2 linked regions of the Arabidopsis thaliana genome follow. The protein of the gene in region 1 binds, or shares a complex with, the protein of each later gene. Each region holds a gene or a part of one and is shown on either strand. Other genes may lie near its edges. A codon is read from its position in the direction of its gene.

What was found.
Region 2: the proteins of CRY2 (region 1) and AT3G44450 are in contact, whole or in part, in a crystal structure (PDB 6K8K), measured with the Arabidopsis thaliana proteins. Residues at the interface, in NP_171935.1 of Arabidopsis thaliana: Gln45 (codon at 2,958), Phe46 (codon at 2,961), His102 (codon at 3,129), Tyr104 (codon at 3,135), Pro106 (codon at 3,245), Leu109 (codon at 3,254), Val110 (codon at 3,257), His113 (codon at 3,266), Lys116 (codon at 3,275), Ser128 (codon at 3,311), Trp138 (codon at 3,341), Leu205 (codon at 3,637), Thr207 (codon at 3,643), Arg208 (codon at 3,646), Ala209 (codon at 3,649), Trp210 (codon at 3,652), Ser211 (codon at 3,655), Leu220 (codon at 3,682), Glu223 (codon at 3,691), Phe224 (codon at 3,694), Gln228 (codon at 3,706), Gly241 (codon at 3,745), Asn242 (codon at 3,748), Thr244 (codon at 3,754), Ser245 (codon at 3,757), Leu246 (codon at 3,760), Cys301 (codon at 3,925), Phe302 (codon at 3,928), Pro305 (codon at 3,937), Ala323 (codon at 3,991); in NP_190031.1 of Arabidopsis thaliana: Arg41 (codon at 2,071), Arg43 (codon at 2,077), Leu44 (codon at 2,080), His47 (codon at 2,089), Arg48 (codon at 2,092), Glu49 (codon at 2,095), Val51 (codon at 2,101), Ala52 (codon at 2,104), Gly53 (codon at 2,107), Val55 (codon at 2,113), Pro56 (codon at 2,116), Ile57 (codon at 2,119), Pro58 (codon at 2,122), Asp59 (codon at 2,125), Ser60 (codon at 2,128), Trp61 (codon at 2,131), Lys63 (codon at 2,137), Glu64 (codon at 2,140), Leu67 (codon at 2,149), Met68 (codon at 2,152), Trp70 (codon at 2,158), Phe76 (codon at 2,176), Asp77 (codon at 2,179), Ala79 (codon at 2,185), Phe80 (codon at 2,188), Thr81 (codon at 2,191), Gln84 (codon at 2,200), Ile85 (codon at 2,203), Ser87 (codon at 2,209), Ala88 (codon at 2,212).

Annotation. Positions count from the first base shown.
Region 1 is NC_003070.9:1,184,763-1,190,726, reverse strand, and holds CRY2 (cryptochrome 2), read left to right. Parts: upstream 1-2,030; 5' UTR 2,031-2,540; intron 2,541-2,653; exon of another isoform or gene 2,654-2,720; 5' UTR 2,721-2,825; coding exon 2,826-3,138; intron 3,139-3,242; coding exon 3,243-3,467; intron 3,468-3,562; coding exon 3,563-4,275; intron 4,276-4,420; coding exon 4,421-5,008; 3' UTR 5,009-5,215; downstream 5,216-5,964. Other genes in the region: c-NAD-MDH1 (Lactate/malate dehydrogenase family protein), read left to right, coding at 87-262, 420-697, 787-922, 1,015-1,126, 1,215-1,309.
Region 2 is NC_003074.8:16,072,983-16,076,528, reverse strand, and holds AT3G44450 (uncharacterized protein), read left to right. Parts: upstream 1-1,599; 5' UTR 1,600-1,950; coding exon 1,951-2,301; 3' UTR 2,302-2,764; downstream 2,765-3,546. UniProt on the Arabidopsis thaliana protein: Regulates the blue-light dependent dimerization of CRY2 and formation of photobodies. Inhibits CRY phosphorylation.

The sequences.
Region 1 (5,964 bases):
GCTGTGGATATTTGCATTCCGTGTCATAAGTTGTTTTGTATAAGTGGGAAAGGAGAAGATGAATATTTGATGTGTATTATTATCAGGTGTTGTTGCTACAACTGATGCCGTTGAGGGATGTACTGGAGTCAATGTTGCTGTTATGGTTGGTGGTTTCCCGAGGAAAGAAGGTATGGAGAGGAAGGATGTGATGTCCAAGAATGTTTCCATCTACAAGTCTCAGGCTGCTGCCTTGGAGAAGCATGCCGCTCCTAACTGCAAGGTGATACGATCTGTTTGCTTTTTAAGTTAAATGAAGCCACTGCATCCAATCTTCTCTGTTCATTGGAGTGTAACAGATGCTTTGTGTTCTCTATTGGGTTCTAGTTTACGACTCTCTTGCTCACACATTCGCTCTCGTTTTGTCTTTTTTTTTTCAGGTTCTTGTTGTGGCCAACCCGGCAAACACCAACGCATTGATCCTCAAGGAATTTGCACCATCAATCCCTGAAAAGAACATCTCTTGTTTGACAAGGCTTGACCACAACAGGGCTTTGGGACAGATCTCTGAGAGGTTGAGCGTGCCAGTGTCTGATGTTAAGAACGTGATCATCTGGGGAAACCACTCATCCTCACAGTACCCAGATGTCAACCATGCTAAAGTGCAGACCTCGTCTGGAGAGAAGCCTGTCCGTGAGCTCGTCAAGGACGATGCATGGTATGTATAACATGCCATAGAACTTAAGACCCTTTCTCTTCTCTGGAAGCAAAATCTAGTTTCACTTAAATATATTGCTCATTCTGTAGGTTGGACGGAGAATTTATCTCTACAGTTCAACAACGTGGAGCTGCAATCATCAAGGCGAGGAAGTTGTCTAGTGCGCTCTCTGCTGCTAGCTCTGCTTGTGACCACATCCGTGACTGGGTCCTTGGAACTCCAGAGGTTCATAATAAAACTCTTCCCCGTTATTTGCAGTGCTGTTTTTTTGTAACAGTTAATCTAATATGAGTTCTTTCTTTGATTCAAATTGTCAGGGTACGTTCGTTTCCATGGGAGTATACTCCGATGGCTCTTACAGCGTTCCATCAGGACTTATCTACTCCTTCCCTGTAACTTGTCGCAATGGAGACTGGAGTATTGTCCAAGGTAAATATGACGCACTTACAAACTCAAATGCTCATCAATTATGAAATCCTAGATTCTGCAGACCCTAATGTGTATTTTGTTTGGTTAGGCCTTCCGATTGATGAAGTATCAAGGAAGAAGATGGATTTGACTGCAGAGGAGCTCAAGGAAGAGAAGGACTTGGCGTACTCATGCCTCTCTTAAACCCTTCTGGAGCAAAATTTTCATCTATAAGGTGTGAGATCAGTTAAAGCCTTTCAGGGCTTTGTCCGAATAAGAAGTGTGTTTGAAAGATCTCCAAACACTGTTTTATAACCTCTTTGGTCTCTTTGATGAGTATTGTCCCTGGTCTGTTTCTAAACCAGGATATCGTTTTTTTCAATGTGTCTGATTTGGTTTACCCATGAAAAGAAGAAAATTGGCAGTTGCATGGTTATCTTTTGCGATTATTTTTTTCTGCTTTAGCAATTAGCCCAAAATTGATGAGCTCTTCGATAATGGGTTTGTGCAATTGTGATTTGTGAGGAATGGTGTTATTGTGTTGCAATTGCAAAAAGAAATGCTACTCTTGCAGATTCATACCAAAACCAAATCACTAGATTAAACTGAAATTCTAATGTGGATTATTTTAATTTTACTTCTATTTTTCTTCACCCAAATATTTTATAACCAAACACCAAGTTGACACCAAAATATACATCCAAAAAACTTAGATTGCTTCTATTTTACGACTATCCGAAATCGAATCATAAACCGTAGGCAATGGTCCATTAATAAGGGGTATACGAGGATTCAAAGTTTGAGAGAACTTTTTTATCTTTACCTTTTTCCTTTTGTAAAGTAAAAGCAGTGGATTTTGATTATAGATTCTACTTGGTAATGACTAATGAGAATCAAGTTCTCACCTTTAAGCCATATAGACTTTAGATATTTAATGGATTCTACAAAAGTGGGCATGACCAGAATCGAGTTCATGAACCACCGTCCTCGGCCCCAACGTTAAAAAACTTTTTTCTCTAGCATAAGAAGATAAGAGTATCTTCACTGCGCTTTAGGCCCACTCAACATTCAAACAAAATTCGATCTCTTATAAAAAAATATCTCACAAGAGAAAGTTCGTACATGATCCCGATAAAATCGTAGATGAGCAAATCAAAGATGAGATGTCGGTAAAAAAAACGCTATTATAAGAACACACGCCACTAGTTGTGGATAAAGTTGTCTACTTTTGTCTCGTTGTGATTATTATATTGCACAATTATTAACATTCATACTCTCATATGGGTATTGTTTTTGGTCTCCGTTAGATCTCAAATCTTTAACTTTGCATACCCAAAATAGGAAGAAAGAAGAGTCAAGTCACTAAAATAACTTTCACAGTCTTTGATTCGAAGATCTTTGTCGCCGAGAGATATCCACTCTGATTTGAGTTCTGGTAAAAAGTTTCCAGCTTTTGATTTTTGTTTCTCTCAATTGAATTTCTCTTGCTTGCTCTGTTTAAAAGGATTAGGATTAAATCGAATCTCTCTCTGTTATGTTTTTTTGTAGATTATTTTGGATTTTAGGACTCAAAGATTACAGATTTCTTATCAATCATTCTCTGTTATTGTTATAGAACTATTCTCTGGAGGAGGTTGAGGTCTGAAATCATGGAACAACTTGGTTAGAGTGTGGAATTTTAGCTGATTTGATCTTTGATTCATCTGTGATCATAATAACTATGAAGATGGACAAAAAGACTATAGTTTGGTTTAGAAGAGACCTAAGGATTGAGGATAATCCTGCATTAGCAGCAGCTGCTCACGAAGGATCTGTTTTTCCTGTCTTCATTTGGTGTCCTGAAGAAGAAGGACAGTTTTATCCTGGAAGAGCTTCAAGATGGTGGATGAAACAATCACTTGCTCACTTATCTCAATCCTTGAAGGCTCTTGGATCTGACCTCACTTTAATCAAAACCCACAACACGATTTCAGCGATCTTGGATTGTATCCGCGTTACCGGTGCTACAAAAGTCGTCTTTAACCACCTCTATGGTATATACTCTTTCATCTCTTATTCAAAGGATATATATTCTTATTAAGTTAGTGTAGTCTAAGTGCAACTGAGGTTGATGCGATCACGTTTTTCTTTGTTGTAGATCCTGTTTCGTTAGTTCGGGACCATACCGTAAAGGAGAAGCTGGTGGAACGTGGGATCTCTGTGCAAAGCTACAATGGAGATCTATTGTATGAACCGTGGGAGATATACTGCGAAAAGGGCAAACCTTTTACGAGTTTCAATTCTTACTGGAAGAAATGCTTAGATATGTCGATTGAATCCGTTATGCTTCCTCCTCCTTGGCGGTTGATGCCAATAACTGCAGGTAAAACCTTAAAGAGTATTACTTAAAAGCTAAAACGTTTTTGATTTCTTCAGGACATAAGCGGTAGTAAAAGTTTATGGCTTTTTCTTTGTTAGCGGCTGAAGCGATTTGGGCGTGTTCGATTGAAGAACTAGGGCTGGAGAATGAGGCCGAGAAACCGAGCAATGCGTTGTTAACTAGAGCTTGGTCTCCAGGATGGAGCAATGCTGATAAGTTACTAAATGAGTTCATCGAGAAGCAGTTGATAGATTATGCAAAGAACAGCAAGAAAGTTGTTGGGAATTCTACTTCACTACTTTCTCCGTATCTCCATTTCGGGGAAATAAGCGTCAGACACGTTTTCCAGTGTGCCCGGATGAAACAAATTATATGGGCAAGAGATAAGAACAGTGAAGGAGAAGAAAGTGCAGATCTTTTTCTTAGGGGAATCGGTTTAAGAGAGTATTCTCGGTATATATGTTTCAACTTCCCGTTTACTCACGAGCAATCGTTGTTGAGTCATCTTCGGTTTTTCCCTTGGGATGCTGATGTTGATAAGTTCAAGGCCTGGAGACAAGGCAGGACCGGTTATCCGTTGGTGGATGCCGGAATGAGAGAGCTTTGGGCTACCGGATGGATGCATAACAGAATAAGAGTGATTGTTTCAAGCTTTGCTGTGAAGTTTCTTCTCCTTCCATGGAAATGGGGAATGAAGTATTTCTGGGATACACTTTTGGATGCTGATTTGGAATGTGACATCCTTGGCTGGCAGTATATCTCTGGGAGTATCCCCGATGGCCACGAGCTTGATCGCTTGGACAATCCCGCGGTAAACTACAAAACTTGTCTTATAGTTTAGAATTCAAAGCTTAATACCAGTTTTTGCTATGCATTCGTTTTTTATTTTATTTTTCAGCTTATTTGGTTTGGTTGATTTAGTTCTGAAGTCTATGAAAACTCTGTTTTTATTTCAGTTACAAGGCGCCAAATATGACCCAGAAGGTGAGTACATAAGGCAATGGCTTCCCGAGCTTGCGAGATTGCCAACTGAATGGATCCATCATCCATGGGACGCTCCTTTAACCGTACTCAAAGCTTCTGGTGTGGAACTCGGAACAAACTATGCGAAACCCATTGTAGACATCGACACAGCTCGTGAGCTACTAGCTAAAGCTATTTCAAGAACCCGTGAAGCACAGATCATGATCGGAGCAGCACCTGATGAGATTGTAGCAGATAGCTTCGAGGCCTTAGGGGCTAATACCATTAAAGAACCTGGTCTTTGCCCATCTGTGTCTTCTAATGACCAACAAGTACCTTCGGCTGTTCGTTACAACGGGTCAAAGAGAGTGAAACCTGAGGAAGAAGAAGAGAGAGACATGAAGAAATCTAGGGGATTCGATGAAAGGGAGTTGTTTTCGACTGCTGAATCTTCTTCTTCTTCGAGTGTGTTTTTCGTTTCGCAGTCTTGCTCGTTGGCATCAGAAGGGAAGAATCTGGAAGGTATTCAAGATTCATCTGATCAGATTACTACAAGTTTGGGAAAAAATGGTTGCAAATGATCAAAATAATGTGCTGTTATAAAGCCTAACATGTAGATGTGTGAATGTGTCTTTTAACTCTTTGTTTCCTTTTGGTTATACTCAAAAGGATATGATTGCATAAACATATAATGCTGATATTATTTCAATTGGCTATGAATAAAATATACATATTTGTTTAGTCTTTGAATTTGTTTCATCTGAGTTGTTTAGTTTGAGGAAAAAGATAACGGCCAATTTATATTTCTTTATAAAGAAAAGAAAGGAAATCTCGATACACGACGTTTTTATATGAAACAAATGCAGTTGGAAATAAAAGTAACAAATCATTGGTCTAAAAACCCCAATGAAAAATAGTAACTAAATGACTGAATACTACGGTAAGATTTTTTTAATTTCTATAAAAATATAAGATTTTTTTTGATGATTAAAATATTTTTTTATAATCAATTACAAATAATTATCATATCTTGAAAACAACAAGAATTTTTTTGATATAATAAAAATATTAAATTAAATTACAAAAATAAACGATACTAGAATTATATTTCATTGAAATTTCTTATATATATATATAGCTGATATTTTAATACAATTATTAATTTATGATATTGATGGGACTATATGTTTACATAGGATTTTCAAAAAAAAAATATTTTATTAATTTATCGATTTGTATCGCTTTTTACACTAGTCCCAAATACTGAAAGAATTTATTATTTTATAAAAATGATTAATTTATCGAATATTAATTTATAAAGGTTTTACTGTACTTGCATGGCACAACAACGAGAAAAAGTCCACGCGATAAAGCTTCAATGTCAGGAATCATCAGGCGTCGAAATGTTTGACAATGGCATCGGTTTCGTCCAGAGAGGAGTCGACGGGGCCTGGATGAGGGTCGACGTAATCGGAATTGTCGTGGAAAAGAGAGTAGAAGCAAGATCCGATTCGGATAACGTCTTCTTTACTATCAG
Region 2 (3,546 bases), on another chromosome or scaffold:
GTGTTTAGATGGTCATTCCCTTTGGAGTCCCTAAAACTTCTTGATGAGACTACTCACATATGACCAAGTACATGTGATCATTGTAGGATAAGGGAGAGTTGCCTCAATAATCGTGCCCAAGAGAGTTATCAATTAAGAGCCTCTAATTAGGATGGTCAATATAACTAGGTTCATTACAAGAAAATTATTGTCGGTAACCTAGTTTCTCCTTTTTAAAAAAAAAAATGGTCAGTTTTCATAAATTTGCTTTCAGTAGACAAAAAGAAATTATGAGTATGATCACAACATGAGTGGACAGTAAATTTGCTTTAGCAAGTTGCAATATATCTTGTTTTGTGGCTTACAAATGAATTGAAGTTGACGCAACCTTTTGATTTTGATGCTTTAAATTTACATGGGGCCAATCAACACAGAGAATTAAAGAAAAATAAATATGATTTTTCTTCAAATTAAATTAGAGTTAACAAAAAAAAAAAAAATGGTTGGTTTGATAATGGATTACGTTAGTCAAAATATTGTTTTTTTTGGTTGGGTTTATTCATTATTTGATTTTATTTTTCTTGATCATGTATTAAACAGCGGATAAACTATCAAATATGAAACGTTCTCCTCATGTATGCTGATTTCTTTTCTTTTTTTTGAGAAATGTGTGACGAATATTTATGTTCTGAATCTTCACAATTAATCAATTTGACTGGTGTGGAAAAAAATAAAGATGTGCCTTTCATTGCGTGTGAGTTGTGACGTAAAGGAGAGCCAAAATTGATTCTTCTTGCTACGTTGTTTTCTTCCCAAAGTGGAAATAACGAAAGATCTGAGAAGAGAGACCCAAAAAAATATCTAGGATGTAGCAAAACCACACATATCAATTAAATATATATATATATATCTTTTCTTCTGATATTAAATAAATAAATATTTTCTAAGTCAATAATAAGTAAATAATAATGAATGTATAACCTTTTTCTTTTAGAGGGGAAGGGGGCAAAAATAATGAATATATAACTAAAATGCTACAACAAATTGATTGATTTGAGTTTGATTAGTAATCTTTAACCGCTTCGCAAACAAACCGCTTTTAAAATTCCGATCAATAGCGATTAGAAGAAGCAGTTGGAAATAGTGGGTTGAAGAGATTGTTGCCCGCCACCTATAAAGATTAAGGTAATTTGTTTGGCAATGAAATGCTTGGACTTTTTCTTATATATTTTAATTTTTAAAATTTTAAATATTAATATTCTCTTATACTATTATCTAAAGGAATTTTTTAAAATAGAAATAAAAAATTTCTGGAATTTATTTATATTTTAATTTATTTTATATTATAACTTTTTTAGTATTCAACCACTTCTTATCAATTACCAAAAATTTAGCTGCTTGGTTTTAACTTAACCGCCTTTTATCTAACATTGTTTCTAACCGTTTTTTCAACAACCACTAAAGAAGCTCTAAACCGTTATGTGTAAACTATATTACCAATCGAACTCTATAAATTATGTATGTGATGTCTATAAATAACAGATTATGTTAAAATGTAGCTAACTCATCAAATAAATAAAGAACTCACAAAAATAAAATAAAAATCAGTGAATTCTATGTGTATAACATTTATGCATGTTCTACAAAGCGGTTTAAGCGGTCATCTATACTTCGACTAGACGTTAGATGCTCATGCCGGGTCTAGATAACCGGTGAAGGAAAAACCAAACATGCCATGAGACGTAGAAACGTCAACGACCATATAATGGTATTACTATTATATGTGATCCTACAAGAAGACACGGCCACCACAAATCTCTGTCACACTCTCCTTCGTTTTCAACCTTGTATATTATTTTTCTTCTTTCTATTATTTCTCTCTAAATCTCAACATTTTTATATATACAACACACACGTCGAAGCCAATAAAAATCTCTACTACAAAAGTAAAAATAAAGAAAAGAGTTCAAAATGAAGAACACCAATTTGCCTGAAGAAACCAAGGAACCAATCTCTCCAGGATCTTCTCACCGGAAACAAAACAAGACAGGTACAAAGACATGTTTCCCGGAAACAACGGTGTTGTCAGGACGTGATAGGCTAAAGAGACATAGAGAAGAGGTTGCCGGAAAAGTTCCTATACCGGATAGTTGGGGAAAAGAAGGATTGCTTATGGGATGGATGGATTTTTCGACCTTCGACGCTGCTTTTACGTCTAGCCAGATTGTCTCTGCTCGAGCTGCGTTAATGGCTGACTCAGGAGACGATGCCGGAGCTAGAGGAAGTAGGCCTCAACGCCTTCGAGTTGAGAGTTCTTGTTGATTTCATTGTCTTAGAGAAATGTTTATGAAATAATACTCTCATCATGATTTTGAATGTTATTATTAGATACCTTATCTTCACATTGATTTTGAAATTTTGAACCATTGATACAATTATTCAAAGTTTCATATAGTACTTGTCTAATTGAATTGATTTGTAAATGGAATTTGCATGTGCGTGAGACAATTTGGCCATTATATAGTTGGGATGAGTAATTTATTTTCTGTTGAAAATTGAGAGATATTGATTAAGAATTGTATAGTGAAGTGAAGGATTCATGCTTTTCTGATAACATGCAAGTCAGATTTTTTTATTTTTTTTTCATACTTTTTTTTTGTTTTCCTATCATGACATTTTGGCTCACTTTTTCTTTTCTTTTTTTTGGTGATCAACTTTAGATTTTGAATTTTCAGGGTTATTATCAAACTCTCTATTATTATGATTATTTAATGACCATTTTCAATTTCTTTTCAATAAATAAAAATTATTGATTTTTTGATTCGTAGTCTCTCGAATGTGAACCATAGCTTTATTCCTTAAGAGAGATACATAAATTTAATAAGTAGAACCAACTTCTCCCAGCTACTCTTTTACGTTTTTGATGTTACTTTTTCCTTAGGGATGTTACAAGATGAGAAAGGTTTTAGTTATCAAAAAAGAAGGCGATGAAAAATGTTTAAATGTCCGAGAATTATAAAACTACCCATCGCAATACAATATATCCCCTCATACTATATACGTAAAGTAAATAAATCATTTGGAAGGCAACAAATTAAATATCACAAGTAATTGATCAGCATAGGGGAATGCTATTGTCCATGACATTGATCGATCCAACCATATATTAAAAAACGTTATTAAGTACCGTTATTAAAGTGGAAGAGGCTTTCTTGGGTTTGAATGAATACAACTATGTTTGCACAAAAAAAAACAAAGTACATTAGTCAAAATTTATTTATTTACTGTTAAATTATAATTAACAAAATCGTTATGTTTTTTTTTTTTTTATAATATTTAGAGAGGCTTCCAAAAAACCTTTCAGACACGACTACCAAAACACCTTTACTAAACATTTTTTCCGGCATCGGTGAAGTTTTTGCTTACCGGCTTTGGGATCCCATCTGCATTTCACTTCGACATCGCATCTTTTCCTTAATTGTTTTCTTTATTATTCTGTTTTTGATGTTTTTATCAAAAACATTTCTCGGTTTAATCTTTACCAAACTTTTTTGAACACTTTATATC